2 linked regions of the Macaca fascicularis genome follow. The main gene of each other region encodes a partner of the protein of the gene in region 2 in a complex. Links are inferred from orthologs where the notes say so. Each region holds a gene or a part of one and is shown on either strand. Other genes may lie near its edges.

Region 1 (16,047 bases), on a different chromosome or scaffold from region 2:
AGACCTTAAAACAGAAATTAATTTTTTAATCACCACTGTATTCTTTAGCGTAAGTGACAGGACAAAACATGGAAATGTTACTGAGAAATAACAATTATTTTAATCAATAACGCAAAAGATCAAATCATATGCCCTTGCACCAGGAGAGGCTTCAAAAGCAACTTTAGGTTGGCACAAACCTATTATATCACAAAAAGTACTGACTATATTAAACATGCATGCAAGGAGGGCAACAAATTCATGGAAGTTTAAAGGAAAGAACTGGTTGATCTCTAACTCTGGGAGGCAATATTTTTTAATATAGATCAGGGCAGAGGTGGATTTACTATGAAGTTAAGGTAGTTTAAACTTTAGTGGCCTTCACTTGCATGAGTCCCTTTCAAATCCCTGGAAACAAAGCCCTACTAATTTTATATTCATAATTTTTACTCTTTTTCTTATAGAGCCCTCTCCTAAACTGTATAAACTACAGGGCCCATAAAATTGCATTCGAGGCCATTTTAGTGGAAAAGTTTTAGATTTAGGAAAATTCTATAGAATGCTAAAGAGAAAGCACAGGAAAAAAGTCTATAACTTAGGGAAGACAAGAGTGCTGGCAGTTCATTCACTCAATATTCATTAAGTATTAGGTACTTTGTTAGCACTAGAGAGATAAAACCTAACATGGAATACATTCACTATCAATGGATAATGTCATAAAATGGGCAAACATTAGAATCTTTTCTTTTTCAAAGTGATTCTACTACTAAGGGACTGTTGAACTATACTCCTACCTTACTACTTCGCAGCTGCAGCCTAGAAGGGGTTCCTTAACTACTCTAGGTTTCATTTTCTCATCTGTAAAACTGGGATAACAGTATTAACTGTACTTCAGAGGGCTGTTATGAGACTGAAACAAAATGAATTCAAACTGCTCCATAGAGCATCTAGCTCAGGAGTGTCCAATCTTTTCGCTTCCTAGGCCATACTGGAAGAAAACTTGTCTTGGGTCACACATAAAATACACTAAGACTAACAATAGCTGATGACGTTAAAAAAAAAAATTCTCTCTCTCTCTTTTTTTTAGATGGAGTTTTGCTCTTGTTGCCCAGGCTGGAGAGCAATGGTGCGATCTCGGCTCACCACAACCTCTGCCTCCTGGGTTCAAGCGATTCTGTCTCAGCCTCCCGAGTAGCTGGAATTACAGGCATGCGCCACTACACCTGGCTAATTTTCTATCTTTAGTAAAGATGAGGTTTCTCCATGTTGGTCAGCATGGTCTTGAACTCCCAACCTCAGGTGATCTGCCTGCCTCGGCTTCCCAAAATGCTGGGATTACAGGTGTGGGCCACCGTGCCTGGCAAAAGTCTCATTATGTTTTAAGAAAGTGTATGAATTTGTGTTGGGTCACATTCAAAGCCATCCTGGGCTATATGTGACCCTTGGGCCTCGGATTGGAGAAGCTTGATCTAGCTCATTGTGCTCTGTAAATATTAGCTCTTCTTTTTTGATTTGATGGTAGAATTCAGTGGGATAATAGATATTATAACTTTTTGAAAATTTGTTTTTAACACTGCCAGATGCATATTCCAAAAGATACAAGTGGACATTTAATGGCATTTCAAATTTACAAAATATGTGAACTACTAAAACTAAAATAAAAATTATTTCAGAAAATTACACCATAGCAGATTAATCTTGACCTTGATTTGTGCATGAACTATGCAGCATGAATTCTATATTCTGTAACTGTCTCTCCTTCCTGACTGCTTTTTCCTTTTAGGTGAAAGTATCTCCAACATTTCTCAACTGTCTTGTATTTTCCAATATGTAACCCACTTGTTAAATAAATAAGTTCCATCTGGTACATACTTATTTATGACAGTGTCTGTTTCGATTTCACAGGCTGGTGAATTCCTTTGCCTAGGTAAAATGCTGATGATACTACGGTTGTAGGTGTGAACTCTTAATAGGGTACTTTGTTTTTATCTGATATAGAAGTTAAAATACACTTTTGTAAACAAATGACATTATTACAAGGAAGGAAAGGAGCACAGATAAAAATATTATGGTTATTGTAAAAATAATTCAAAAGTATATGCCTCAGTTAAATCTAAACAGTGAGTTGGTCATATATTTGGGAAAGCATATTTATATTTTAGTATTCTTGAATGGATTCAATTTAAGCATTGACTCAATAAGAAATACTTTATCAAACTGCTAATGTCTTAAATTCTTAATAGATTGTTAAGGAAAAAAGATTAACAATTAAAAGATCATATTGTTGCTTTGCTCTTATAAAAGTAAGTGCTAGTAATAGGCTGCAAAAATATGGGTAGATTACCTTTTTTACAGTGCTCCAGAATTAGAAATTATAGTGCTTTAAGGCACAGCTGCATCAAGTATGGCATTCTTGACAGAATTGAATAGCTTTGAGAAAAGCAGACTTTAGGGAGCTATCTTCTAAACTTTTAATAACTATCAGCAGGAGCTAAGACCTACATATATTACTATTTTAGAAATTTTACTGTTAATTGACAAATTATAATTGTTTATGGTATACAAAGTGATGTTATATGTATATGGTTTGAATGATTAAATCAAGCTAATTAACATATTCAGCACCTCAAATACTTAACAATTTTTGCGCCAAGAACATTTGAAATGTACTCTCTTAGCAATTTTGAAATGTACAATACATTATTATCAATTATAGTCACTAGGAATGTAATAGATCTCAAAAAAATGTATTCCTCCCGTTTATCTGAAACTGTAACCTTTGACCAACATCTCCCTATTCCCCTCATTTCTCAGCCTCTGTAAACCTTCATTCTATTCTTTGCTTCTGAGTTTGATTGTTTTAGATGCCCCATATAAGTGAGATGGATCATGTAGTATTTGTCCTTCTGCACCTTGCTTATTTCATGTAACATAATGTTCTCCAGGTTCATATACACTGTTACAAATGACAGGCTTTCCTTATTTTTTTAAGGCTGAATACTATTCCATTATGTAAACATAGCATATTTTATTTATGTTACTCTGCTGATGGACACTTAGGTTGATGCTAAGATCTACATTAGCATCAGGACTGAGGTTAAACCAATCAGTACAAGATAAATGGAGCTAGGGTGGTCGTCAGAGAAAACCAAGAGGCATTGGAACAATTCAAGGTGCCTCACCTTATATGATCAGAGCTACTTAGAAGATTCATGTGTTCTAATATATAGTGCTTATTCTGGACCAGACACTATTTTAAACACTTAACTAATTTTAATGAACTTAATCCTCCCAATAGTCCTATGAGGTGGAACCATTATTTGCTCAAATTCAGGCATAACAAAACGAAAACCCGGAGAGGTTTAATGACCCGTAACCCAGCCATAATAGCAAAGTGGTGGAGTCAGGTCTTAAATTTGGGCAGTCTGGGTCTGGAGTCTCTGATATAAACCTCTTTATCATGATGTCTCCTTCTTGCACTGTTGCATCTTTTCACTCCACCTCCACTCTGAAGTTATCAATTCAATGGAGTTTGTTGAATTTTTTAAATGAGCTATTTGAGGTAACTGACTTAATAGAGAAAAAATGCTTACAAAGGAAAATAAAAACTTGAAAGAGCCAGTGTGATCATTGAATTCTGCATACTCACCGCCACATTTGTCTCTTGTTCAGTTTCTGGCACGTAAGGGTAATGGTTATAAAACATATCGTTTCGCACCATCTTTTTCCTCATCCTGCAGGGCCCTTCTGTCATCTCCAGCATCCACTTGTCCAGGTGGGAGCCGATGGGAGGGCCCCACAGCCCCCGCTCCCGCAACAGCTCGCACTCGATCTGGCACCACTCTTCCGTCACGTACTTCAGGGCATTCTGCTGACGCTGACAGGAAAGAGTCCAGGTCGGTTTTCAAGCAAAAGCAGGAGTAACAGTAACAAGTCTACAAGTCACTGAAAATCAAGTTATTACTTGGAAACAAACACAATCCACACCATTTCAGTTAATCCTATAAAAGTAAAATTACATTCGTTTATGGTTAAAGTAAGCGGGTTTGTTGTAGAAGGTGGACTTCTTAAAGCATCAAGTAAATGACAGACATGTATAGGGTAGAGCGTGCAATACAGTGGAACAGAGAGTTCAAAGAAGTCTGTTTATCTGGCACAGGAAAGACGGTAATATTACGATGAAAATATATTGAAATGGTTAGCCCTATGTGCGCTAATAAATACATATGGTAATTTAAAGATACACCAAACTGGAAAATAGCTACCACAACATGTACGGGGGATAGTCTAGGAAATCAGATGAAGAAAAAGTGCCAACAGGCTTGATTACTGGTGAACTAGGTAAACATTTCCAAAGATTTTAGATGAAGAATATAAACATGCAGCACTAAGAGGAAACTTGACATTCATACAAAAATCAAAGAGAAACCATTTTCTCCTGGCCACTGGGATAGATTCAAACCATTTTACTTAAAAGGAAATTATGTCACAGTACAAGTTCTTCTTGTCTATCAAATGACAAATATGTAACATTTCAACAGTACACAATGATAAATAACTTGCCCAACGATTCATGGAATGTAAGTATACACAATTTAAATCTAAAAATAAAGATTTCTAAAACATAACTGTCAGTAAAGATTACTGAGTAAATAATTAAAAATTTACCTATCACAGTAGTACTTATATGTTCTTTGGTTGGGGAAACTAAGGATCTAGTGTGATATCCATAAAATATTAGCAGTTAACCATTCAGAAACCTTTAATAGATCCAGAATAGCTAATCTGAGAATAAAACATTTAAGATAAGCTTTTGAGTAATTATGAATTTACCAAGAGAATTTCAATAAATTTATTTTTCACTGACATAATCACCAAGCACTTGTAGGGTAGTAAAAAATAATTTCATTTAATCTTGTAATTTTTTACAATTTTAAGAGACTTCTCAGAGACTTGGATGCATGTTTTCACAATCTCCTTGTTAAAAGCCTGAAAAAGAAGGCTCATCCTTACATTTTTATTTTTATTAGGAACAAAGACATGTAATGTGTCAGTAGTGAATGTCAACAGAATTCAGCTGGGCTCATTTTCAGTTAGTTGCTTTTTGAAATGCAGTTTGTTGACAGAAGATTAAAATTTTCCATCCTAAAATCAGTAGCCAAAGTATCTGATGGCAGGAATAATTAAAACCATCATCTGATGATGAATACAGTCCAGCAAGTACCTTAAAATGGGCAGAGAGATACCAGCACAAACAGAGACCTTTTACATACAAAAAATGTAAAACAAACCATTATGATGATTATAAATCCTTACCTCCTGATATTCTTTATATTGTGTATCTACTAAGTCGCGAACAACAGCAATGTGAGTAAACATCCACTGCGAAATCTCCTAACAATGGATGGAAAAAGAGTCTTAATATTTCATGGATTTCTGGAAAAAAATAGTTAATTACCCTTGAAATTAATGCTAAATAATTGGTTAAAATTCTGCCAAAAGCACCAACACAGAAAACTAAAACAAAAATTCGGAATGAATTCCATGCTTGTGTGATGGACACAGATCTGCATGCTCTCCTACCCCCCAACCCCCTTCAAGGAAGGGCTTGCTGCCCACGTTTCTGGGCTACTGTCGACACCCTCAGGGATGGCCTTAGCTGCAGAAGGAAGATGGGGCGCCCCACATTCAACGATCTAGGGGTGAGAAGAATCACATATTTCAGCTTAATGGAGGTCAATTCTAAGAGGGTATTCTGTCCTCAAAGCTCCACTTAGTTTGGCTGAGGCTGTCACTAGACCAGCACTGCAGCCTGACTTTTCCCTATATCCAATCCTGCTTTCTTCTCCCTTCCACAGGTATTGATTCCAAGGGCACCCCCTAATATACATTATGCGCACTAAACTCCATCTCAGAGTTTGCTTCCTAGAAAACCTAACCTGATGCATGAGATGGCTGACACATACTCAGACCCTTTCATAGCTGCCACTTAGATTCTGGAATGGTGAAGGAAGTAGGAGGAAGAAGTTAATGCTGGAGGCAGATGAGCTTTTAAAAAACCATCAATCATAGGTATATACAACAAGTCTAAAAATTTAAAAAGACTTGTTCGGCTATTGCCTTAAAATTTATATAATTATTAGTAATAACATTACTGAAAGTTGGGAAAATTGAGAGAAAATTATCCATAGTCTGATCATATATTAATCTCTATATCTCATCTTCTATCCAGTTATAAGATGTGTATAAGTAAATAGCACTAATAAATACTTTTATCATAAGAAAATGAGAGAAATTCCCATAGTCTGGATTACTTCTATCTTTATTCTAAAGCAAAAATACAGGAAAGTTTCATTTCCAATCAACTGCTTGTACATGTTAAGTATATTATATAAAATACTACAACTAAACCTTGAAATATAAATTTCTAATAATATCATCAATGAAACTAAAAAAGTACCTGGGTGGAAAGACTGTGTTTATTAAGACCACTTTCTTTTCGATTCCTTCTTGATCCTGTTAACTTGGAAAGACCAAAGCCACTGCTGACACGGGATAATTTGGACTGTGTGGTGGGCACTAAAGCTTCTCCTCGACTTATGCATTTCTTTTCATGGGCTATGAAAAATTAAATTAGATTATTTTATAATTTCTCCATTTATGAATCTTCCTTTTAAAACTTTCATATGTAGTTATAAACTACAACGCTGTAGTTAACAAAAGCAGCACATATTACAGATGCAGACATTACATTTAGATATCACAAATTTATTTATTGGTAATCTTGTTTAAGGATGATTGCTTACAAATTATTGTATTACCTGAACTTACAGTTGGTTGAAACTTCACAGCTCTGTAATAACATGTACATTTAACTATGAGTTTCTATATTAATAATTCATAATCACCTAATTAAAATCTTTGGTGTTGGGTATACTTCGCAACTTAGAAATGTTTTGGATTTTTAAAAGGTTATATAGCTTATACACTGTAGATTATACAATGGCACCAGAGAATCTACAGTAAAAAGCTATAATTTAATACATCAATATTACTGCAACAAAATGTATGAATATTCCCATACCAAGTAGGACAAAGAAAAATAAGTTAGGTTCTGCTATAAAGTCAGTTTTGGCACCAAATTAATGAAAAAACAGAGCTTTTTGAATTTCAAAATTATAGTTAAGGGATTGTTGACCTGTAGCCAAGACAGTGACCATACTAGAGCTGCTAGCAATGTATAACATTCTGAATGCAAAAATGCCTAATGTATAACATACCTCAGATACAAAAAAAAACTCAAAGAAAAGTAAGATCTCAGTATAATCATTCTAGAATGGTTGTTATATTGATTTTCATTTCTACTGACTTTATAGTATCCTTTTGGGAATGCTGTAATCACATATTTAAAGTATACCCATATATGACAGCCAAATGTAAATCTCCCGGTCATAATATCTCTATAGGCCTTACCCAAATGATTCTGCCAGCACTTCAGGGCAGCTTCTTCAATGAGTGGCCTTGCTGTAGCTATGTCCACGTGGCCCCTTTCATTCACAGGCAGAGTTACTTTGAACAGCTCCTCTAAGACTTGTTTCTTACTATGTATCAGTTCAGTCCAAACTCTGTTGACAGCTTTTATGAGAAGCTGACGCCCTAGTAAACAAACAAACAAACAAGCAAGCAAATGACCAAAACAAGGCATAAAGTTAGTTTTTATTTTTCTTCATGTTTACATGTAGGAATTTTGACTACAATATTTAATTGTTTAAAAAAAAAAAAAAAGCTCATGTTGTATCTAGCCCAGTGAAAAGGTTATTTAGACAACTCAAACTGTGGCTGCCTATTTAGAAAACATTAAAAATATCTTTGTATTCATACAAAAGAACTACATTTTTATTTATAAAATTGGAAATTATATACATGTAATTATCTAACTTTTTCTAGATTAAAAACTTATCCCCCATTTAAAAGTAATTTTTAGATCTGAATGTTTAAGGTGAGTTCAAAACTAAGTTAGTATTCTTGAATATTTTGCACAAGAAAAGAAATATTTTGAGAAGACTTTTACTATGAAATTCATTCTTACTTTGGATTCCTTGTTTGTATGCCTGACACCTCCTCCAGACCAGTCAGCCCTCAGCAATCACCTGAGGGCCTGTGATAACAAGCTCTGCTAGTCCCTCACCCCAGGGTTTCTAATTCAGTAGGTCAGAGTAGGGCAACAGAATCTGCTTTTCTACTAAGTTCCCAAATGATATTGATGTTGCTATTGTGAGGACCTTGCTATGAGAACCAATGCCAGTTCCTCAGGGGGTGAAAATAATAACCACATCTTTGGTGTTTAGGATTCAAAACATTTTGGTGAAAGAACAGAGAATAAATTCATGTTTAAATGAAGGAATGAAATTAAAACGAGTGCTGGGCTTCCTGACAATGAAACCATATGTAAAACTATTGCACAGTATTTCTGAGGAGAAAAACACTACCAGAGTGATTTCTCTTTATCACTAAACATGTGGAAGTAAGAAATCAATCCATACAAGGACTTCAATATGCAATGCTTACAGGATCAGTGGGAAAACCAGATTGAAAAAAAAGAGAGGGGCTGGGCACAGTGGGCTCACATTTGTAATCCCAGCACTTTGGGAGGTCGAGGCTGGTGGATCACTTGAGGTCAGGAGGTTGAGACCAGTCTGGCCAACACGGTGAAACTCTGTCTCTACTAAAAATACAAAAACAATTAGCCAGGCATGGTGATACCCGCCTGCAGTCCCAGTAACTCAGGAGGCTGAGACATGAGAATCACTTGAACACGAAAGGTAAAGGTTGTAGTGAGCTGAAATTGTGCCACTGCACTCCAGCCTGGGCGACTGAGCAAGATTCTGTTTTTTTTTTTTTTAAAAAAAAAAAAAAAAAAAGAGAGAGAGAGAGTATAAAGAAGAATAAAAAATAGCACTATTGATAACCTGTCTCAAGCAATATTTGCCTACTCTGATGTGATATGCCTAGCATTACCACTGGGCAGTTCTCTTTATAGTTAATTCCAAGGTAGTATTTGAACTTAAGCAAATGTAAATATTAATACCACCACCAAATCTCACAGTGTTACTAAGAAATGATGAGCTTAGCAACATTACTGGTTTGTGCTTTACTCTTACTGGCATGAGGGGACGCTTTGTCTATGTATAGGTTGCTCTACTGGGAGAGTTGCTATCAATGCTGGCAGTTTCTGCAGCCAGTTTGTTGGTTATGTCTTAAAAACTGGAGATAAAACAACTTCAACAATTTAAAAACATCCCAAGTTGAGGCAATTACCTTCACTAATATCTTGGCTGTAACTACCATCTGGTTCAATGTCAGAGGGGATCATAATGTGCCATGTGGTCATGCGGGCTTCTGCTTCCAGTCCAAATCCATCCACGTTGCTGAAAAATTCCAGTCAGTTTAAACTTTATGAAGGAAATGATTAGCTGCAGACTACAGTAACTAAGAATTACTCTATTTCCATTACCAGCAGACACTGAATGTCTACTCAGCAGATGCACAGAACAGAGCTCTAGTTTGCCAGGAAGATGCCATTTTTAAGAGGTGATCAAATAAATCCACTTGACTAAATGTAATTAGACTAATCTATAGCATCAAGATTATTACCTTAATATTTAATATGCCTTTTGATTATTGTGAACATTTTAACCTAACAATTACAAAATGTTCATTCAACTAACATTTTTCTAATATGCCTGTGTCCTCTCTCCAGTCTTATATCTCACTACTCTGCTTCTGTAGTGAAATAGTTGCAGTTCTCCTAAGGTGCCACTCTTTCTTCCCTCTGGGCATTCATACAGACTGTTCTTTCTTCCAGTAGCAGTTGTCTCCATTCTCTTGTCCTCCCCAACCAGGTCTCAAGCTGCAGCTCAGCAGGTATTTCTTTCAGGTTAGGGGCCCCTCTTATGTGCCTCCAAAGCACTGGGTTGTTCCTAGCAGATCACTCAATACAGCTGACTGGTCTTGCTTAGCTGTTTCCCCTCAAGAAGGCTGCCACAGGGTCTATCTTACTCACATTTTGTACCACCCCCTAATTCAAGGCTTGGCCCCGGGAGACTCTAATGAAATATCTGTCAAAGCAATCAACTGGAAAATACTAATTTTACTCATTTAACACATAACACTGCATTGAGCTTTACTTTTTACTTCTCTTAGACTTCAATGGTATGTATTTTGTTTGCTTTAAAAGCAAACTGCCTTACATAAGTGACATATGGTGATAATGGGAAATTTTACAGGTGTAGAAAACTAAGTTAAAGGAAAAAAGATACCCATAATTTCACTGCAAAAATGCAACACTTGCCCTTTACCTTTTTGCATAAAGGTTTAAATAAAACAGAATAAGGGTAAAAGAAAGGCTACTATCAAAAAAATGAAGAATTTTGTTGGAATAACATCAAAGCCAAATTTAACATGGCAAACTGAACCTAAAGGATTTACCTTCCAACATGTAGATTGATCAAGCAGTGGGCCAGACAGCTAATAAATTCTTGGTCATGGTTCCCAGGTCCTAGGATCAAGTTTCTGTTTACAGTGAGGACCCTGAGTGAATCAAGCAGAGCTACTTGCTGAGGAACAGTTTTGTGTGCCCGTGAGAACTGGTACAAGATGGTCCTATTGAGGCAGTGATACACTGCATCCAGTGACAATCCCTGTGATCTTCTCTTTGACTAAAGACACGGAAGATATGTTTTTAGTACAATAGACAAAAGTAAAACACCTGTTAATCATTCACACCTGAACTTTTATTAGGTCTATTATATACCAGATGCCATGCTAAGTATGAAGGTGCTAAGTTAAAAGATACAAAGCTCTTGCTACTATGGATTTCAGAACCCATGAGTCACATGAATACCACTTAATGAATGATATGATGGCTACATTAAAAAAAACAGCTCCCAAGGAGGGGAGCCACTAACGCTGCTGTGGGCAGAGCAGTCTCCCTGAGAACACGAGGATGTGACATCTAGGGGAGTCTCCTCACAAATATATTTTGTTAGGATAAATGATCACTATTCAAAAGTACTGAAAAAATTAAGATGTTACTAAAATCATTTTTTTTGACATTCTAATTTCATCCCCTCGTTTGAGAATTTTTATCTTTGGCTTAAATACAAATATATCCCTTTAAAAAGACTTAGGTGACATGAGAGAGCCTATGCATCTGTGTACCATATGCTAATGGTATTTCCTACTTTATTTCCTACTTTCTACATTAAGTATTATATAAGATTAATCAATTGTGCCAAACCAGGCCAAACCCTTAATTAAAAGTACTGTGAACATGCACAAAAAATAACAACTTCAAGAGAATATAAACTACAAGGAACTTTGTAAAGATTCAACTGGTAAGAGAATATTCTTTTAATATCAACTCTTCATGCTGTGTAAACCTTTACACATGGATGTAGTATACAGTACAAACCTACCAAACCATATTAAGGTATTTAAATCTATCGGGGTAGCAAAGAATAACACCTAGGCAACTTTACAAGGGACACACTGGCACCAGGCAATTGGTAATGGGGAGGGGTTCAAAGTCTGTATGTCTATTCAGTTTTTTTTTTTTGAGACAGAGTCTCGCTCTGTCATCCAGGCTGGAGTGCAGTACTGTGATCTTGGCTCACTGCAACCTCCGCCTCCCAGGTTCAAGTGATTCTCCTGCCTCTGCTTCCCAAATAGCTGGAATTACAGGCACACACCAACATGCCTGGCAAATTTTTGTATTTTCGGTAGAGACAGGGTCTCACCATGTTGGCCAGGCTGGTCTCCGACTTCTGACCTCAAGTGATCCGCCCGCCTTCGCCTTCTAAAGTGCTGATACTACAGGTGTGAGCCACTGTGCCTGGCCTGTCTCCATTCACTTTTAATAAGCTTAGCTTTTTATTAAATGTTAACATTCATTATCTTATTAGTTACACTTCATTTCAACAATTTTGATACCATAGGCAAAGTTTTCAATAGGAAAACATGTACTCTACAACTGATAGTGACAATGGATTACCTGTGCAATTAGTTGAATTATAAAATCTATAAGAAGTTTAGATTCTTTGTTGAACATGCCTTGCCAAAGCTTGTCCACCACACGCTGTGTGAAATAAAACACATTGTTCACCAATACCTGGTAGCTTCCTCCACTGGTAATAGGCAGAGATGCGTCTTCCCCTAAATTCCAGTAGGAAAAAAATGTCTAAGAAAATTGATATCTAGCAACACAAGATCAGATCCTCAAAAAAATAAGGCTAAGGAAAAATAAGTGTATCTACAACATGTAGAAATATGACTACTAGCTTTTATGTACTACTTCAAGAAAATGACGTTCAATGGTCAGAAATCAGGATGAATAATTTCAGCAGGATAAAGTGTTATGGATTGAAACTACCTGTGGAGTCTCCTATTGCCTAAACAAGAGTCTGTGATAAACAAGCAGTTCTGCAACATAAACTGTCAGTCACAGGTGTTCTCCATTTGAGAGAAAAAGGGCCAGTTTATTAGCTCTTAATTGATTTTGTGTAAGTAATAAAGGGTAAAACTGTAAAACAAAACTGTTTTAGAGTATAGCTCTAATAGCAGTGAAGTAACACAGACAGAAAAGAGCTTCAGGAAAATTGTGAAAAATAAAGTATAATCAATGTTGAGGGGTTTGTTTAGCCCCTCCATCATTACCATTGGCTCTCTTTCTAAAGCTATCTGAGTGTTTTCAGTGTGTTTGCATATACATATTGCTTTCAGACTAATCCTCCTAGCTCCTCCTCCTAACCAGAATGCTTCCTCTAAGCCAGGGGTCCCCAACTCCCAGGACATGGACCGGACCACACAGCAGAAGGTGTGAGGCGGGTGTGCAAGCATTACCACTGGAGCTCCTTCTGTCAGATCAGCCGTGCCATTAGATTCTCATAGGAGGGCAAGCCCTATTATGAACCGTGCATGCAAGGGATCCAGGGTTGCACAATCCTTCCGATAATCAAATGATAAATGTAATACTTGAATCATCACAAAATCATAATCCCACCCCCCGCCCCGGTCTGTGGAAAAACTGTCTCCAACGAAACTGGTCCCCAGTGCCAAAAAGTTTGGGGACCACTGCTTTAAGCCTTTCCTCCACAGAAATTCTGGAGGTTCGATTTTTATTATTCTCACCTAATGCTAATAATAATTTTTATTATTCTCACCTAATGCCACAGAATTTGATTTTTATTATTCTCACCTAATGCTAAATTGCCCCATTAATCAAAATTATTTGTGTTGTGTCTTTGTGTAGTATGACTGCTCTAAACTGATAAGAATAAGTACAAAACTGTGACTTGACTTTGAGAGTGCATAGTTGCATGTTAAGACAATACTAAAGATTTCCTGGCAAATTTACTTCGGGAAATAATTGTAATTTAATAGCACAGAGGTTATATGATTAGTATTATTGCTAGGAACTCAAAAGTAGCATATATAGTATACTAACCCATTATGTTTCCTTCTCTTATAATTCTACTTTGTTTTATACACAAATGTTGGCTTCATTGTACATGTATTAAGTTTCATATTTTTATTGTAACTAGATATAGACATACAGAAAAAACACATTTCAATGTGTTTTGACTCTATGTCCTGGAAGCCATACTAAAAAGATAACATACATATACCTATGACCCAACAATTCCACTCATAGGTATATACTCAATAGATATGTGTAAGTATTATACACATATGTGGTCCATATGAACATGAATGTTTATAGCAGCTGTTAAAATTATCTCAAGGTGAAAACTTTCATATGTCTGTCAAGAGTAAAATGACAAATTGATATAATCACATGATGAAATACAATATATTAATGAAAACAATGGACTCCTGCTACATGCAACAAGATAAATCTCACAAATATAATGTTGAGTATGAGAAGCCAGACAAAAAAGGAAAGAGAAAAGGTGATGTTAAAAAGTAGTTTTACTTGGGGCTTAGAGAGGAAAGTGATTATAGGTATTTTTATAAAATAAAAACACAGAATTACCTAATAACACATCAGCTGCAAGCAAATGGTCCATCACACTATCCAAAATGTAAGTTTGAAATTCTTTTTGCTGAGTTCTTGTAGACCTTTCAGGGGAAGCCTAATCAAGAAAATTTAGGATTAGAAACAGAACCAACAACAAAAAAAATATGAGCTCAATCATATTTACATTACCTAATGTATTAAAAAGATTAAAAAATCCTACTGATAAAATTTTTAAAATGCCATGAGAGATGGTATACATGCTTATGGACTTTCACATATTTTCTAACTACAGAATTAAAAAAAATTTAAAGTAAAGGTGAAACATCATCTTCTTTTGAATCAATTTCTTAAAACATAGTATTCTAAACATTATATTTATTATATGGTTACAGTTTATATTATATAACATATAATATATAAACAATATATATAGTATTGCTATATAAAAACTGTTATATAACTGTTATAATAACTGTTATATAAAAACTGTTATATATATATAACAATACTATATATAAATATATATAGTATTGTTATATAAAAACTGTTATATAAAAATTGTTATATAAAAACTGTTTAGCAATATAATAAATATTTGACTGTTAGCACACCTCACTTCCAAAAGAGATATGGCAGTTTATAATGAAATACAGATAAAATAAATAACAAATGAATTATAAAGCCATTAAAATAAAAAACCCCAAGAATCTAGTAATCAAGAGGGCATGTCAATAGGGAGAGGAAATATATTTGTAACAAAAAAAAATTAAGCACAAATTTAGCTCTGAGCTTCATAGGTGTCAAGAAAACAATAGTTTACAAAGCTTTCTATTGTCTATAAAAAGAAACACATAGTGTCACAAGTGCCTACAGTCCCAGCTACTACGGAGGCTGGGGTGGGAGGATTGCTTGAGTTTGAGTCAAGCCTGTGCAATATAGCAAGACCTTTTTATGAAAAAAAGTAAGAGGGAAAGAAAAACACAATAGATGGTCAGCAAAGACATATGTTTTCCTAAAACTGTTCTGAGAGGAATGTTCTCTGTGGGTTTTTGTGAGGAGGATAGTGAACAACTCTATATAGGTGGTATCTTTGCTAAGTTTTACAATGTGCAAAGATGATTCTGAAAATTATCTTATGTTAAAGTGTCGAGCACAAAGTTAAACTGTAGTCTACTGACAACAATTCTACTTGTAATTAGGGTATGACAATCCAGGTGCATAACTTTCCAGTATCTGATCCGGTGAGCAGCAAGGAACTGGCAACAGTGGGATGAGATGTAGGAAAGAGCCTTTTGTCACCCTCAAATGCCAGTAGTTTCAGCCAGGTTTTTGATAGGAGTTGGATATTAAACAACTCAATAAATGTCATAACATCCTTTCTTAAAAAGAGATCTGTATGTTTTAGATTCAGGCACAGTATTGAGGTTTTGCAAATGATATAGAAGAACCTACTTATTCTTGAATAGGGAGATCTGGTACTATATTTATGACCATGTTACAAAAGTGGGCTTTTAGAATGCTGTTCTACTTTCCCTTCTATTCTGATTTTCAAGGTGGTCCTGTTAAATGTTTTAAGAAAGTAGCTAGAATAAAAGTTCTATATTGAGAACAAGAACACTAACCTAAGTTCTCAAAAGCCAACCACTAAACTAAAATTGTAAGGAAAATTGCTCCTTCTTCTGCATAAGACTACTTATTTTGTTTTAAAATGACAAAATATGGGTCTAGTAAGAATTAAAAGAAGACCAGTGCTTAGGAGTTTGGTTTGTCATTAAACTAATTTGGGAAAAAGTGAAGAACATCTCATGTTGTTTTTAATCTTGATAAATTTTCCTGTGTAGTTAACAGATTAATACAATAGCGAGCAGGAGACTTGTGACCAAGGCCTGTCTAGTCCTTTCAAGCTGATACTACATTGAGTGTCTTATCCCTATAAACTGAAGAGGATGTGAGGACTTTTAAGTGATTAACAGCAGACCAACAGTTACAGGAGGGTTTCCTTATAATTACATCAGAGACCATTTTATCCA
Region 2 (16,252 bases):
GTCCAGACTCTGGAGCTGCCATGGCCTTGGTCACCGATGCCATGTCCGTATGGATGGAGAGACCCCGGCCCTCACAGCCTGGCAAAGGAGACCACAGGGAATGAGAGTCAGGGATCACTCCCACAAAGGCAATGGGTCAGACCACTGCAGGACAGCCTTCTGCTGGGAGGGTGGGATGCGGTGGGCTGGTGGCTCACCATCAGGCAAAGAGGATCCAGATGTAATGGTGCTCATGGAGGAGGAGCCCGGATAGGCTGGGAAGGTGCCAGTCAGAGCCGCAGAGTGGGACACCCAGGCAGCAGGGTCAATTGGCTGGATGGGCTCATCTGGGACAGAGATGGCACCAAAATGACCCATTCTCAGTCCCCAAAAGCCAGCCCAGTCCCTCCCTGACTCAGCCTCCTGTTCCACCTCTGCCTGGACCCTCCTCCCACCCACTCCCCATGACCAGAGGTCCAGCCCCAGCCTCCTGGCCAGCCCCCACCCCCAACTTCAGGCCCCCTCCCTGAGTGTCACTCACTTCTCGGGAGAGTGAAATAGGCCTGAGGAGAGGGATCCCAGCACTTGGCCACAGTCAGCACAATGGGGCTACGGGGAAGAGAAGTCCAGTCAAGGGCGCAGGGGAAGAGGAGGCCTCAGGAGAGTGGGGGCCTGAAGCAAGGATGGATTAAGAGACACAAAGAGAAGGAGAAGCAAGCACATCGCGGCTGGGCTGGAGAAGGTGAGGGTGGAAGGCACCACAATGCGGATGACTCATCAACATGGAAAACTCTTAAAAACATACTGCCAAATGAGACAAGAGAGTACACGCTGTACAATTCCATTCACAGAAAGACCAAAAACAGGTAAAATGAAACCGTGCTGTTCAAGGATACATGCAAGAATGGTAACTATCGAGTGAGGCAAAGCTCTCCTCTGTTATGGTGATAGCCAAAGAAGTCAGGAGAGTGACCACCCCTGGGGGAGGGAGGCATTTGGGAGCAGGAAGGGACATCTGGGGAGGAAGTTCTAGAATATCAGCAATCTCCTATTTGATGGTCTAAGTGGCAGTGACATGGATATTCACTCTAGTATTGATACGTCACACATTTGTTTCACGTACTTTCAATGTTATGTCTCAGCACTTTTTTTTTTTTTTTGAGATGGGAGTCTCGCTCTGTCGCTCAGGTTGGAGTGCAGCGGTGTGATCTCGGTTCACTGCAACCTCCGCCCCCTGGGGTTCAAGTGATTCTCCTGTCTCAGCCTCCTCACTAGCTGGGACTACAGGCGTGCGCCACCACACCCACTTAATTTTTGTATTTTTAGTAGAGACAGGGTTTCACCATGTTGGTCAGGCTGGTCTCGAACTCCTGACCTCTGGTGATCCACCCATCTCGGACTCCCAAAGTTCTGGGATTACAGGCATGAGCCACCACGCCTTACTACTTATTAAAATTGCAAAACAAAACATAAAAGAGAAAAAAAGAGAACTGAGGACCTGCAACCTGCTTGGCAACTTACCCAGGCTTGTGCACAATGTCCCTCAGCACCCGCACGGCGTCATCATTGCTCATGTTCTCAAAGTTCATGTCATTCACCTGGAAGCAGGGGAAGTGGGTCAGAGGCATGGTGGGAGAGGCTGAGGGCTCCCGTGCAGGGCAGCTCGGTGGCCACACCCCAGCACACCTGCAAAAGCATGTCCCCTGGCTCAATGCGTCCGTCGGCCGCCACAGCCCCACCCTTCATGATGGAGCCAATGTAGATGCCTCCGTCTCCCCGCTCATTGCTTTGGCCCACAATGGAGATACCCAGGAAGTTGTACTTCTCTGTGGAGAGAGGCCATGTGAGGAGAGGAGGCCCCCGCGGCAGGACCCCCAGAACCCTAGAGAGAGAGGCCATGTGAGGAGAGGAGCCCCAGCCGCAGGACCCTTGGAACCCTAGAGACCAGGCCCTCCCCACGCCCTAGCCACAGGCTCTCCCCATACCCATGTTTAGCGTGACTGTGATGATATTGAGAGACATGGTGGAATCTGTGACGCTGCTGAAGGACGATGTCTGTGGTGGGAAAAGAAGGAGCTAGAGTGCCCTTCAATGACCCAGGGTCAACCCTGGGGTGCTGCCAGTGTCCAGGCACCACCCAAACCAAAGCCTATGCCCCACCTTCTCCCAGCACCAGCCTTCCCGTGGGAACCCCTCACCCTCTCCAGGCGGGGTGGCCGCTGCTTCCTCCGCCGTCGGTGGCGCTTAAGGAGGCGGGAGGCACTGCTCTGCTCCGTGGAGCTGCTGAACCTGCCAGGAGGTTGGAAGGAGAGCAAACGTAGGCCAAAGTGGTCATGGGGCCAAGAGAAAGAACCAGAGGATTGACTGGAGGAGAAGAAAGGGGGCTGGGTGCGCTGGGGAGAGCTGTGCGGAGCCACACCTGCTCATGGTGTCCTCCTCGTCAGAGTCCCCCAGGCTGGTACTCTCCAGCTCACTGGTCATGAGGGTAGAGGAGCTCTCATATCCCGCCAGGTGGCGCTCCAGCCTTGAGGGGCCACCAGTCCTGTGGCCCCCAGCTGCATATGGACAGGAAGCTCAGGAACCAAACTTCCCCCTGCTCACCCCACCAAGGCTGGGGTCTGGCCCAGCCCTTCCCAGCCCCCAGGCCTGCCCCTCACCGCCATGCTCACTGCTGTCTCTCCTGCGAGGCCGCTCCCGCCTCAGTGACACTACTGACTCGGTTTCTGTCTCAGGCTCCAGATTCTCATGGCTGCTGGACACATTAGGGCTGGACAGGCAGAGATGGTTTCCAATCCATATCAGGAGAACAGGGTTCCGGATCCCAGGCGTACCCTACCAAAAGGCCTGGGTTCCCTCCTCACCTCCCTCCCTCGAAGTCAAGAATCAGAAGGACTCACTGAAAGGATGGAGGCCTTGAGTCCCCAATGCCGCTGGTCCTCTCGGGTGGCAAAGGGGGTAAAGGTGGGGCTGGAGGCGCCAGTTCTGCCCGAGGCTCGTGGGCTGGAGGAGCCATCTCGGGTTGGGGATTATCTGAGGACACCAGCTAGAAGGGTGCAAACAATAAACAGTGGCGCTCAGCTGGGAGTCGGGGTGTGACAGGTTGCAGTAAGTGAAAGAACGAAAAAGGGTCTCAGAGAGCTGGAGAAGAGCAAAATAACCTAGCAAGTATTAGAGACTCCAGAAGGAGAAGGCTGAGGGCCTCTCACTGGCTCTCCAAACAGATAAGAGGTAAAGAGCCAGGGCTGCTAATACCTGGCCTGGGAGAGGGCTACAGAAACGGACTGAGGCCTGGGGAAGCTTGGAAATGCAGAGGGGACCCAGCCCTCGGCGTCTGCACCTCTTACCCAGGATACCACCCTTCCGTTGAAGCAGGGGAGGCGGGCGTTGTCATCTGAAATTTCTTCCTTCACCACTCTGCCAAGAGACAAGGTGGAGGTCAGTGAGCTGGACCAACCACCCCCACCCCCACCCCCATCAAAGTTCCTCCCAATCTTCACCGGGCTCCAGGATGCTGACTTTCTCCCGCCCTGTTCAGGTCTTCTCTTACATTGAAAAAACTCACTCTGACACCTAAGAAATCTCCAAACTCAATCCCCTTTCCTTATTTCTCCTCTCCCTAACGCACCCTCAGGGGCGTAGTGCTGCTCCAAAGACTTGACTGAGTCTGATTCAAACCTCTCAGTACAATTTCAAAGGCAATCCCCTATGCTGATGCAGCTGCCTAAGATACCTATCTAATGAGACTGGCTGGTAGCCTCCTCTCAAGCCCATCCCTGTTCCTTACAAACCTTCCAAAAAGGCCGGGCACGGTGGCTCATGCCTGTAATGCTAAAACTTTGGGAGGCTGAGGTGGGCGGATCACCTGAGGTCAGGAGTTCAAGACCAGCCTGGCCAACATGGTGAAACCTCGTCTCTACTAAAATATAAAAATTAGCCAGGCATGATGGTGGGTGCCTATAATCCCAGCTACTCAGGAGACTGAGACGGGAGAGTTGCTTGAACCCAGGAGACAGTGGTTGCAGTGAGCCAAGACTGTGCCACTGCACTCCAGCCTGGGCGGCTGAGCAAGAATCTGTCTCAAAAAAAAAAAAAAAAAAAAAAAAAACCTTCCAAAAAAAGGCTTCGGTCCTCAACCAAGTCTCTACTTTTATACTTGCCTTTAGTTTTCACTAATTCATTTCCAGAAGACTGTCCTTTCTTGAGTAAAAACACCCATTAGAGGCCAGGCATAGTGGCTCACACCTGTAATCCCAGCACTTTGAGAGGCCAAAGTGGGTGGATTACCTGAGGCCAGGAGCTGGCCAACATGATGAAACCCTGTCTCTCCTAAAAATACAAAAATGAGCCGGGCACGGTGGTGCACACTATAATCCCAACTACTCCGGAAGCCGAAGTAGGAGAATCGCTTGAACTCAGGAGGCGGAGGTTGCAGTGAGCCGAGATTGCGCCACTGCACTCCAGCCTGGGCGACAGAGTGAGATTCCACCTCAAACAAACAAAAAACAACAAAAAACAAAACCACCCACCATTAGATCAAACAAACAATGGAAGCTCCTCATTAGACTGAAAGCTCCCAAGGAGAGAGCAAGCTGGCGCTCCCATTCCCCTGTGCCTCATCTGGCACAAAATTCGGCACGAAGCAATCTGCTCAGCCTGACAGATCCCAAAGCCCAGCCTTGGGGTCATCTCTCCAATGGGTTCCCTGTGGTGGACTGGACTTGCCCCTTCTTCTTGACCACGACATCAAACCATGAACACTTACTCTGATCAACACCATGTCCTGGCCACACACCACACACTGACACTTAGGCATTAACAAATACTGTCAACTAAATGAATAAACATATAAAGCATCAGACTCTCTGCCCTGGTTGTTTCTCTCTCTCTTTCCACACACACCCTTGCCGCCAAATTAGGACACCTTGTCTAATTAACCCATTAGCCTAATATGGTCATAAGAGCCAGGATATATATCAACTTAATCCATTTGCTGTCAATGTGACAACACAGCCCAGTCACTACCAATCTGTCTCAGCATCATGTAGGATTCTTCCCAACATAACACAATCTCAGCATAGCTCAGTCCACTCTTAAGACAAATTACTGTGTATCACCATAACCTTTATAGAGTAGTCAGCCTCAATACTAATGACAATTACCATTCACCAAGAATTCACCATGTACCACACACCTGAACTAACCATTTCATTCTGTGATTTTCTCCATGTCACAGACGAGATCAAGACACAAAATTTAAATTAATTGTCCAAGATTGCACTGCTGACAACTAGAAGAACCTTGACTTAAAGCCAAGATAACTCCCAAGATAGTATCACCCTTCCCATGTCAAACAATCTTTCTAGCTAGAGTCCAGTTTGTTCAGTTCTTCTAAAACCCATGCTATCTCAACTTAATCCAGCCTGCCTTCAAAAAAGCAGAGGTTGGGCTGGGCGCAGTGGCTCACGCCTGTAATCCCATCACTTTGGGAGGCCGAGGCGGTCCGATCATGAGGTCAGTAGATCGAGACCATCCTGGCTAACACGGTGAAACTCCGTCTCTACTAAAAAATACAAAAAATTAGCCAGGTGTGGTGGTGGGTGCCTGTAGTCCCAGCTAGTGGGGAGGCTGAGGCAGGAGAATGGCGTGAACCCGGGAGGCGGAGCTTGCAGTGAACCGAGAATCAGCCACTGCACTCCAGCCTGGGCGACAGAGCGAGACTCTTGTCTTTAAAAAAAAAAAAAAAAAAAAAAAGCAGAGGTTGAGGACCCAGAGAGGGCTCAGCCCCAAAGACCATAAACACAAAAGGGCTTTCTCTGCATTATTTACATGCCAATCTAGTCCAAGATAGCCCTGAATGTCCAAATTACCCTAGGATAGCCCAATCTATTCTAGCACAGCCTACAATGTCCCCACACGCAGCTGTCTGCACCAATATAGACTAGAATACCCCAATACAGCTACCTGTACTAGCATGGGCACCAACAGCCTTGTCTGCCCCCATACTGAGTGCTCCAATAAAACCATGTCTTGCCCCAAGATAAACCAGGATTAACCAATACAGCCCAGTAGAGTCCATAATGGCCCAAGTTTGTTTTGTTTTGTTTTTTGGTGTTTTTTTTTTTTTGGAGATGGAGTCTTGCACTGTCGTCCAGGCTGGAGTGCAGTGGCGCGATCTCGGCTCACTGCAACCTCCGCCTCCCAGGTTCAAGCGATTCTCCCTGCTTCAGCCTCCCAAGTAGCTGGGACTACAGGCGCCCGCCACCACGCCCGGCTAATTTTTTTGTATTTTTAGTTAGTACAGATGGGGCTTCACCGTGTTAGCCAGGATAGTCTCGATCTCCTGACTTCGTGATCCGCCCGCCTCGGCCTCCCAAAGTGCTGAGATTACAGGCGTTACAGGACTCCTGAGAACGTACTAAACGACCAGACGATAGATGAATTTACTCAGTACAGTCTAAAACACTCCAAAATAAACCAGTATGCCTCCACCTATTCCAGTAGAGCCTAATCGTCTCTAATCTGGTTTAGGATATCCTAGTCTGCCCGTGTGCCTCAATCTATCCAAGCATAACCTTGTCCATCCTGGGAGAGTCAACCTACCTCAGCATGGTACAATCTGCTCCACCACAGGCCAGAAAATCCTAGTGTGGCCCGAAGTAGATGTGTGCCCCTCCACGTCGCCCAATCCACTCTAGCAAAGCCCCCGTCGGTCCTATCTAGGCCTTGCGCTCACCCGAAATCCTGATCCATAGACTTGAAAAAGTACTTGGCGCCCGCGGGCCGCTGCAGGACGCTCTTGAAATCGCCGAGGGTGATGCGCTCGGCGGGGACAGGGATCTTCACCAGGTATGGAGTCTCTTCCTCATCCAGGTGGTAAATCACCTTCGTCTCCCCAACCCCACCGCCCCCAGCGCTGCTGCCCGCCATGGTCTCGCCCGCGCGCTCCCGGGCTCCACCGCCCACCCAAGGGGCTAATGGCCCCTGCCGCGCCTGCGCACACCCGCAAACCGACGAGCGAGCGCGGACAGGACGGACCCAGTACTGGAGAGAAGCAAAGGGAAAAAAGCAGGGGTCGGCAAGGGTGGCGGCGGGGGGCGGGCCGCGAGGTGCGACTCAAAGCCGCGGTCTCAGCGGCCGCCGCGCGCCACCGCCACCGACAACGCGAGCGTCCTCCAGGTCCCCGCCCACCTCTCCTCATGTCACGTGACCTAAGCCCGCCCACCCCGCGCTCTTCAGCCGCCCCCGTCACGTGACCCCTCCCAGTCACGTGACCGCGTGACTCCTCCTAGTGCCCCCGCCACGTGATCGCTGCCTTCGGCAACGGTCTCCCAGCCCCCAAAGGTGTACCCCAGCCGAGGTCCTCGGAGCACCCAGGATAAGCTGGCCTGTGCCCTCAGGAAGCGGACAGTCGGCTCCCACCCGGCTTTACCCCACACCGGCGGGAGCGCGAAGCAACTCTGACCCTCAGGAGTGTGCGTGCAGGGAGTGAAGGTGGGGATTGTGGGGGTTCCTAGACTCGAGTGGGGAGGGCCAAATACAATGAAAGCTCTGAGGTGGCTTACTCAAGTATCTTGGGGTGGGAGAGGCCCAGTGCTGTGCCATCTTCAGACTGGACTGTGAGAGGTGGCTTTCAGCACCACGTCCAGCTAGTCTTCAGCCACCAAAGCCTCCCTCCCAAGCAGGACAGTGAGGGCTATAAACACAAAAGAGCCCACTCTGCTTTATTTACAACACGCAGGCTGTCTGTACAAACAGCGGCCAATATTATTAAAAACAAAAGAGGTGAGTGAGAATCGTCACCTTTCTGCTTTCCTTCCTTGCTTGGCCAGGCTCTAGTACTCCACCTTTGAGCTGCCATGCCCAGTAGGGGAAGTCCAAAATTAAAAATACAACCGGTGTAGAAGAAAATAAATGGGGAGTGAAATAGAAGAAAAGATGAGGGAGGGGAGTGCTAATATTTACACTAGAGTTTTATAGACAACTGTCCCATTCCATCCCAATTCCAATCCTGACCCAGAAAGTGATGGTGGCAGGTCCAAGAGACAGAGATTATGTGTCTAGAGACACAGACAGCCTCCCACCCGCAACCGTAATGGGTTCAATTTCAAGTTCAGAGTGGGGAGGACGGATAGGGTAGGCAAGTGAGACACTCATTTTCAAACAAGTCTCCCTTGGGAATTCCTGCCTTGAAGTGCGGACAGTATCCAAGCTCCAGGGGGTAGGCTGAGGACCCTGAGGCTCAGTTCCCAAATCATGTTATCATTTGGAAGTTCCAGGCTAAAGTTGGTGCCGTCAGGGCTCTCCAGATTTGGGAGGCCCCCCTAACCGCCGGGCCTCTGGCCTCAGTTCCTTGCATTTCTGGCAATAAAAGAAGTCAGGGACGTTGGTCTTCTTAATCTTAGCACAGGAGAGGTGGATCCACGTCCCACACAGGCTGCACTCAATCATGGGCCGCCCTGCAAAGGGCTTTCGACAGTAACACGTGATCAGATCCCATGAGTCATCACCTGGGGAAAAAAGGTTTGTTTGGTATTCTGCCTGAGCAGTTGTTGGATCCACAACACCCTCAAACCCCTCGCCCCAGCCCAAACCTCTCACCTGATTCTACCATGATGTCCTCATCCATGACCCGCATCTCGCCTTCACTGGAGCTGGCATCTCCATCTTGGCTTGTTTCAGTGCTGCCCACCTCCTTGCTTTCACTGTCAGTAGGAGGGACTCCTTCAGGGTGCACTGTGGCAGGGGGCCTAGGAGCCTCGGGGGGTGTTGGGAGCACAGGGGCTGGGGCTTCACCCCCTACCACTGTTGCCATCTCTTCCTCTTCTTCCTCTTCCTCTTCCTCCTCCTCCTCTTCAGAGTCTGTATCACTGGGGGGTGCCTGGGGAGGCCCAGGAGGTGGGAGTCTATCCCCCCGTTCTGCCTTTTTTAACTTCCGCTTCTTGCTCTTCTTGATTCGAGATCTCTTTTCCCCATCCCCAGGAGTTGGCCGAGGCCTCCGAAGCACCCCAAAGCCAGCCCCAGCTCCTGGCCCCAACTTTCGGTTCTTTCGGTCCTTCTTTCGAGGAGGATGGGAGAGGTCCCCCTGGGAAAGGGGCACGGGGGTAAGAGCAGCAGGGGGCCGGGAGGTATGTGTCAGGGATGTGGGGGACAAAGGAGATGCCACCTTGGGCCCATCGAGATCAAAGAGAGAGTCCTTGAGCTTCATCTTCTCAAGCAAGGTAGCACTGTCGGGGGCCTGCAGACGAGAGAAAGTGGACCTTGGGGGTCCTGGCTGGGTGGGACCTGCTTGGGCTGCCCTTCTCTTGGATGACTTTGCTTTCTTAACAAAAGTCTGGATGGTTCGAAGATCTGAGGGGGCCGAGTCCCAGCCATCACTGTCGGCCGCACTCTCTCCTCGCAATGGAGAGCTGGAGCCAGAGGCGGGCCAGTCACTTTCCTTAAAAGGGGAAAGAGACCAGGGTCAGCAGAACCCCAGTGTCATCTCAGCCCCTCCACAAACCCAGCTTGAAAAGGAGTGACTAGATTTACCCCAAAATGTCCTCTACCTCAACCACTAAATCCCACTGTACTCCCAAAACTTCTCCCCACCCCAATTCCCATCAGCATGTCCTCGTGACCACTCCGTGTTACCTCCACCTTCGAGTCTTGATACCTCACCGCTGCCCCGCCCAGGGCCTGTGGAACACGGTGTCCCCCAGACCAGAGCCTTATGTCCTTAGCTCTTTTTCTGTGTAGCCTAATTTGTTACCATTTTCATCTCCCTAAAATTTATCCATAAACACCTTCTATTCACAGCACCTCAAGACTGCCAAAATCTCGACCAGCAACTCCAGAACCCCCTTGCTTTTCACTGCTGTTCAAGCTAGCTAGCCCTGCCATCCACTCCCTGCATACCAGCTTTCCTACCACAGTCCTAAGAATCTCCAACTTCCCTCTAGTCTTACATATTTCTAGGGGCTTCCTCCTATAAAGCAGTACAGTTCTATGTGAACAACAGCCACTCTCTAGTCCCACGACACGAGCCTCAAGTCAGTAATTCTCTTGCCCCTACCTCTTTGCTAGGAGGGATGTAACCAGCATATGCCAAAACAAAACTGCAGAATTTGTTGAAATCCTCAATTGTTCTCCGCCGTTTCTCTGGTGGCTGAAAGGAAGGAGACATGGATCACATGGAAAGCCACACAGTTTAAGAAGGGCATTCTCAGAGACACAGTCCCTAAGTGAGGCGTCTAGAAAAGGGGGGCGGGGGCGTTGTCAGGCAGGGCTACTAGGCTGCAAAGATCAAGGAAATCTCACCTGAGTCTCTGGCTTCAGGGTCGGAGGTGGATCTGGAAAAGCAATAAAAGCTGAGTCAAGACACTACGAAACAGTCTGTGTAAAATTCCTCCTCTAAACCCTGTTGTTCCTAAGTGAACCCCCGGCTCTCCCAGGTCCCTCTGCCAGGCCAGCAGGCCCCCAGCTGTGTTGGATCCGCCCCTGCTCCCCCTTCCGCCCCGCGAGGGGCGGAGCCTGGGCGCGGCGCCCTCTGAGGCCTCGCTATAGCGCTCCCCTTCCCCCAACCGGAGGCCCGGCGCCCCGCCCCCCCCAACTCACGGTCTCTCTCGACTCCAGTCTACTCGGATCCCTCAGCGCCCCACCCCACCTTACCGCTCCCGGGTCCGCGTCCGGGCCGCCGCCCGCCGCCCCCGTCCTTCACATGCGTCCAGAGCCCCGAGTTCCTACCCGACCGCGCTCCACCGCCTCAGGCCCTCCGAGACCGCACACGCCGCCCGCCGGCCCCCAGGGTCCAGGATGACCACGCCGAACCGCTCCCCGCCCTCCGGCCCCTTCTACTCGAGCACGCGGCCCGGCGCGCCCCTCACCCCCACCCCAAACACACACAGGCACACGCATCCAACGCTACTTCACGGCCGGGACAGACCCGGGAGCTCTAACCCGGACGCGGCCCCACCTGCCCCCCCCATACCGCGCTCCCCACAATTTCGCCGTCCCTCCGCCCCCATCCGGGGCTTTGGCCCCTCCTCGTTTCGAGCTCCCCGGGCTCCCCGCCGGGCCCCCCGGCCCTGTTCCGAGCCCTCTCCGGCCGCCGCCGCCCCCCCTCCGCCCCCGTACTCACCACCCAGTCACTAGGCTATGGACCCCTCAACTCCAGCCCCTTCCCCCCAACCAGCCACTCTCTCTCCACAGCAGCCACCTTTGCTGCCACCGATGCCCCCCTCACCCTCAGCAACTCCCAGGCTCTAACCCTCGCGGACCAACCCTAACCCCCCCGCAAGTCGCCGGTCTTAACCCCCCCACCCCGCCCCACCACCCCCTACAACTACCCAGCTCGCCTCGCTTCCTGGCTCGCTCTCTCCACAACTACCCCCCGGTACAGGTCCGTCTGCCGTAGACAATACCCAGACCCCCTCTTCTCCCCACAACTACCTGCCCACCCCTCCGACAATCACCGGGCATTCTCCGGCGGCAACTATTCGGAGCTCCCGTACCACCGCCACAAACTACCCCACCTCGGCGAACTACCGGGCCCCTCACTCAGCCTCTTCTACGTCCTCCCTCCTGAGCAACTCCCGGCCACTGGATTTCCCCAACCTTCCAGTTCCAGGGCCCCAATCTGCCGGTGGCCCTTTCGGGCCCTAACCCCCGAGGCTCCGGATTTCAAGCTCCTATCCCCCGCACCCCCCCACCGTCTGATCTCCAACTACCCCAGCCCAGTCTCCCACTCCTCTTTCTCCAAGGTCTCTCAACTCGTCGCTCTCCCACCTCCAGGGCCAGCCTCCCGACCCCCTCCCCGAACTCCCCCGCTGGGCTTCGGGGCTCGACCTCCAAGTTTGCCAATTGATTCCTCGTCCGCCCCCCCGCCGGCTCAGCGCTCCGCGCCGGTCGAAAGCTCACCTTCGGGACTGGGTTCCGCCATGGCTTCCAGCATCGCCCCCTCCCCTCCTCCCGGTCCGGCGCCCCCCTCCCCGGAGCCGGGGATCCCGGTGCCGCCTCTAGTGCTCGATGCTCCCACTGCTTCGCTCCACAGAAGTGTCCGCCTCAGCCCGGTTGAGACTCGAGTCCGCTAGCCGCTGCCGCCACCTCCCTCTACCACTGCCTCCCGCACTCCCGGACCGGGCCCCCTCCCCCCGCGCCGCCGGCCGCCTGCTCCCTCCTCCTCCTCCTCCTCCTCTCTCCTCCCTCCCTCCTCTTCTCTCCCTCCTCCCTCCGCCGGCGCCGAGGCGCAGTGCACCAAGGGTTTTGTAGTCCGTCCGGGGACAGCGGAAAAGGGACCGCATGAGCCTCCGGAACTTTGATTCCCAGAAAGCCACAGGCTGGCGCAGGCGCCCCAAGCCGCTCCCCTCCCCCGGGGAGTGGCGGGGAGACCGGGAGCCAGAGGAGAGAGCGGAAGTGCGCGCGCAGGCCCCTGGGAGATGTAGGCTGGGCGGGACCAAGAAAGAAGAGGAAGAAGGGATTAGAACTCTCGGCCACCATACTGTCTCGTTCTGCAGCTTCTTTCTCCCCCGAGGGACCGCCCCACTTCCGGCCTGCCGGAGAAATGATTGCTGGGAGATGAAGTATTCCTGGCGATAATGGCTCCCCCTCCCAGTCTTCTCCCTCCCTGATTCCACTCTGCTGAATCCCACACACCGGCAAAAGTCTAGCCAAGTGACATGCAACTGAGAACAGCCGTTTTACTAGCTTACACACATGAAAATATCTTCCTTAATTAGAATGTTCTAGCAAATGTGGATGTTCACCTAAAGCAGGTACTTTGGAACTTTCTCCACAGGAACCCACAGTAAAAAAAAAACAAAAGTTTTACGTGAGCATTTTTAACATTCAGTTTCACATACATGTCATAAAACTAAAGTTTCATTAAATGATCCTCAGTATTCCATTCCATCACAAAAAAGCACCCTCTTTTTGCAGACAGGGAAAAGCCCAACATGGACAGAATAAACCAAAATATACTTCTATTCCTCCAGCTTGTACCCAATACTCCTTTCCCCACCACTGAAACCCACTGACACCTTGGAAAGACTAAAAATCAGCGGGACGAGGGGAGCAACACAAGGCAAAATTCAGTTCAGCTTGGTGGTTTCCTCTTTATTGATGTGCCTCCTACCTTTCCCCCCACAATTTCAGTCCCTTCCAACTACCCCCAAAAAAGAAGGTAGTGAAAGGAAGGGATTGCTGGGGTTCTGAGCCCCTTGGGCAGTCAGAAAGGGAACAGAAACCAAAACAATCACTGGATGTGAAGAGACTGACAATCAAGAAGTCTAAAGCAGGATGGGAAAGGCGGGCAGAGAAAGGGGAAGAAAGGAGAAAGGAGAGGTACAAGATGCCAACTCCACCATTACCCCTCCGAAAAGAGGCTGGAGAGAAAACTTCAAACATTAAGAAGTGCCCGTCCTGAATAAGGGAGGTGGTGTTTGAGCTTGAAGGAGGAGGAGGTCAAGAAAAGGGGGCCACCTCTCTCTTTGTAGAATGAGACCCCCCTCCAGCTCAGGGACAGCAGCTTCACAGACCGTAGACACTCTCGTCACTGTAGGCAATGTAGAGAAAGAAGTCTTCTTCATGGTGTTCCTGGGATGAAGGCAGAAAACTGTTCAGCAACTGGGCTCCAGTTCCTTAAACCAACCACGACCCAGACACTTTCTTCTAGAACCAGAAACCAGTGCCCGACTCCTTCACTGACTCCAAGGCCTAGCACACGAGCAATATAATCTCTGCAGTCCTGGGCAAAAAAGGCCTCAAACTGTTTTCTGCTGCTTTGGAATGGGGAGGAAGACTGGGAAGAGTCCCGAACAGTTTCTCTAGTTCACTGTTCTCTTTCCTTCTCTCTACTCCTACTGTTCTGTCCCAACCCCCAAACCACGGCTATTATGAAATGTTAAGGCAAGCGAGGAAGCTAGTCCAAAATACTGATGTAACAACACTTTCTTCCCCTCACGCTCTTCCAAGATTCCTCTCCAAAGCCTCCACCACTTCCCGGTCACCATACCTGGTAGAGCTGACCCATTGTGGCACTGGTGGGTGGAATGACATTGTTGACAAAGAAAAACAAGGCATCCTCAGCTCGGAGATGAATTCGCTTCCGGATCAAGAAGTAGAACTGACCAACTGCAAAAGATACAAGGTGCAAGAAAGTCACAGAGGTCAAAAATGCCCTCAAAAGAACAGCTGCTAGGTGGAGCCTTCTCCCACAGAGACTGCACTCCCACCCACGGGAAGCAAGCCTGAGCCTTGGGTCAGGTTCCCACCTGTGAGATCAGAAGGCACCAGGTATTTCTTTTTGTCCAGGTCTCCTATCCGAGCTTTGGGAGCCTTTTCTACTATCACCTGATAAAGAGACGAAAATTAGCAGACAGAAGGAATGCAGCGCCAAAGCTGCACCTGTCAGGAACTCAAGTAACAATATTCCTAGTACCTAAATCTACCCCAGACTCATCTCTTTGTCTTTGTACACGCGGTGCAGCACTGAGTCCCAGAGATCCTGACCTCACTGACTGGAGCTTATTTAAATATCCAGGATCCATCCACCGAATAGGGCGTCACCATAAACAACTATCTTAATCAGACGGAGATGACTTGTCTGGGTCCACTAGTGATTCAATCTCGCAACCTTAGCTAGTTGGGGGTATGGCCATTTGAGGCTCAGGCTGTCAAACTCTCTAAGGCCTCCACTCACACAAATGCTAAGGTTTCTCTCTCCTGTCCACATCCCTCTCAACCCCACGTCCACCACTACCCCACTCCTTTCATCCTCGGTCCCAAGGACAGCAGTTTCAGGCTCGCTCCCAACCCCAACACAGCCAGCAGCCTGATCCCTGCGCTGCCCGTCCCAGATCCAAGGCCAGGCTGTGGCGTCAGCGTAAGCGTCCCGCGCCCTCGGCCCTGGCTTCTGTCCTCACCGGCACCCGGTCCGGGTATTTCTTTCGGATTTTCTCGCCCTCAGAGCGGCGCTTCTCGAACGGATGCTCTTCTTTGTACACGAACTTCATCCTCCCGGGAACCGGGCTGGACCGGGCTGGGCTGAGGGAACCCGGGGGGGCCGGGACGGGGGGCGGCGGCGACGGCGGCGACGCGCGGGCGGATTCAGCGGAGCGATCCACGAATTTGCGCCACTTCCCTATTCACCAACCCCGCCCCCGACTATCGGGGACGGCCCCCCCACTAAGATACGCCACTACCTCAGCGGTGCTAACGCTGCTAGCGTAGCACCACCCACTGACCGGCCCCCTCACGCCATTAGCGTAATCGCTTTGGAATCAATTTGTGGGCTACGCAGGCGACGTAGCAAAGACGGTTGGCTTTTGGTCATGGAAAATAACTCTAAATCTGTTCCCCAACCTTCCCCTCAACGAAGCTGGGGCTGAAGAGGAGTAAGATATGGTAATCATCATACGAGACTTGCTTCTCCAAGTTCCTTTCGGAAACAACGTAGAGGAACAGCAGAGACAATTACAAGGTTAGCTATTCACGAACCGTATTGCTACGCTGAAGGCGGCCGTTGACACCAAAACAAAGTAGTACCCAAGTGGCGGAGATGATCTCCAGAAGTAAGAGGTCAAAAAGAAAACAGATGTTTGGAGAGATGTACAGAACGCTTAAGTGCCAAGAATGAGTAGACCAATAGGGACTGGAGAGGAGGTTGGAGGGGTAGGGACTACGCCAGCGCGGAGGAACACCGCACGGTTTGAGTGAAATCATGTGATCTCAAAGAGGGCGGAGCGTCACGTGGCGGGTGTGCGAAGTAGGGCCGGCTTGGGAGGGCGCCGGGGAGGCGGGGCCGGCTGGGCGACGGCGGCGAGTGGGGACCTACGCCTCCCCGGACTGCGGAGGTCGGGGCGCCAGCCGCCTGGGGCCAGCGCCCGCTTAACGTGTCCACGTCAGTACCCCGGACGAAGCCCGACGTTTCTCCAGCTCTACGCCCTTTGGCCGTCCAGGTTTCTCCTTACTTGCTTTCTAGCCTGCTGCTCCGAAGGTATCTTTCCACTCCCCACCAGCGCGCACATCCTCGGCCCTTCCCGCCAAAGCATCTGGTGGCCACATTCATTATTGTATCCCCATACTCAACACCACCTTTCCCCCTGCCCCTTGAGTCCAACAGCAGTCTCTTCCCTCTCTGCTCGGGGGACAGGGTGCATGTAAACAAAGTTCCCTCCCTTCACTTCCCAAAACCCCAGAGAAGGACCTAGGGCCGTTTTGGTTTCAAAGTTATAATGCATGGTTTAAAAGAGAAGAAAGGAAAAAAAGACACAAAGCTGGTTACAGGTCTGAGGGAGTC

What was found.
Region 1: the proteins of GABARAP (region 2) and WDFY3 are in contact, whole or in part, in a crystal structure (PDB 3WIM), measured with the Homo sapiens proteins. The link is inferred for Macaca fascicularis from reciprocal best matches to the Homo sapiens genes GABARAP and WDFY3. Residues at the interface, in NP_009209.1 of Homo sapiens: Glu17, Ile21, Lys24, Tyr25, Arg28, Pro30, Lys46, Lys48, Tyr49, Leu50, Val51, Pro52, Asp54, Leu55, Leu63, Lys66, Arg67, Phe104; in NP_055806.2 of Homo sapiens: Glu3342, Lys3343, Asp3344, Gly3345, Phe3346, Ile3347, Phe3348, Val3349, Asn3350, Tyr3351, Ser3352.

What each region holds. Positions count from the first base shown.
Region 1 is NC_088379.1:49,040,546-49,056,592, reverse strand, and holds part of WDFY3 (WD repeat and FYVE domain-containing protein 3), read right to left. Parts: intron 14,133-16,047; coding exon 14,033-14,132; intron 12,193-14,032; coding exon 12,032-12,192; intron 10,698-12,031; coding exon 10,468-10,697; intron 9,408-10,467; coding exon 9,298-9,407; intron 7,636-9,297; coding exon 7,453-7,635; intron 6,598-7,452; coding exon 6,440-6,597; intron 5,374-6,439; coding exon 5,296-5,373; intron 3,857-5,295; coding exon 3,629-3,856; intron 1-3,628. UniProt on the Homo sapiens protein: Required for selective macroautophagy (aggrephagy). Acts as an adapter protein by linking specific proteins destined for degradation to the core autophagic machinery members, such as the ATG5-ATG12-ATG16L E3-like ligase, SQSTM1 and LC3.
Region 2 is NC_088390.1:7,276,721-7,292,972, forward strand, and holds GABARAP (gamma-aminobutyric acid receptor-associated protein), read right to left. Parts: upstream 15,086-16,252; 5' UTR 14,967-15,085; coding exon 14,877-14,966; intron 14,305-14,876; coding exon 14,226-14,304; intron 14,086-14,225; coding exon 13,967-14,085; intron 13,549-13,966; coding exon 13,483-13,548; 3' UTR 13,048-13,482; downstream 1-13,047. Other genes in the region: DVL2 (segment polarity protein dishevelled homolog DVL-2), read right to left, coding at 1-78, 198-326, 521-588, 1,501-1,577, 1,666-1,805, 1,965-2,034, 2,178-2,268, 2,399-2,534 and 4 more; PHF23 (PHD finger protein 23), read right to left, coding at 8,272-8,486, 8,578-9,415, 10,031-10,123, 10,276-10,307, 11,875-11,908. UniProt on the Homo sapiens protein: Ubiquitin-like modifier that plays a role in intracellular transport of GABA(A) receptors and its interaction with the cytoskeleton.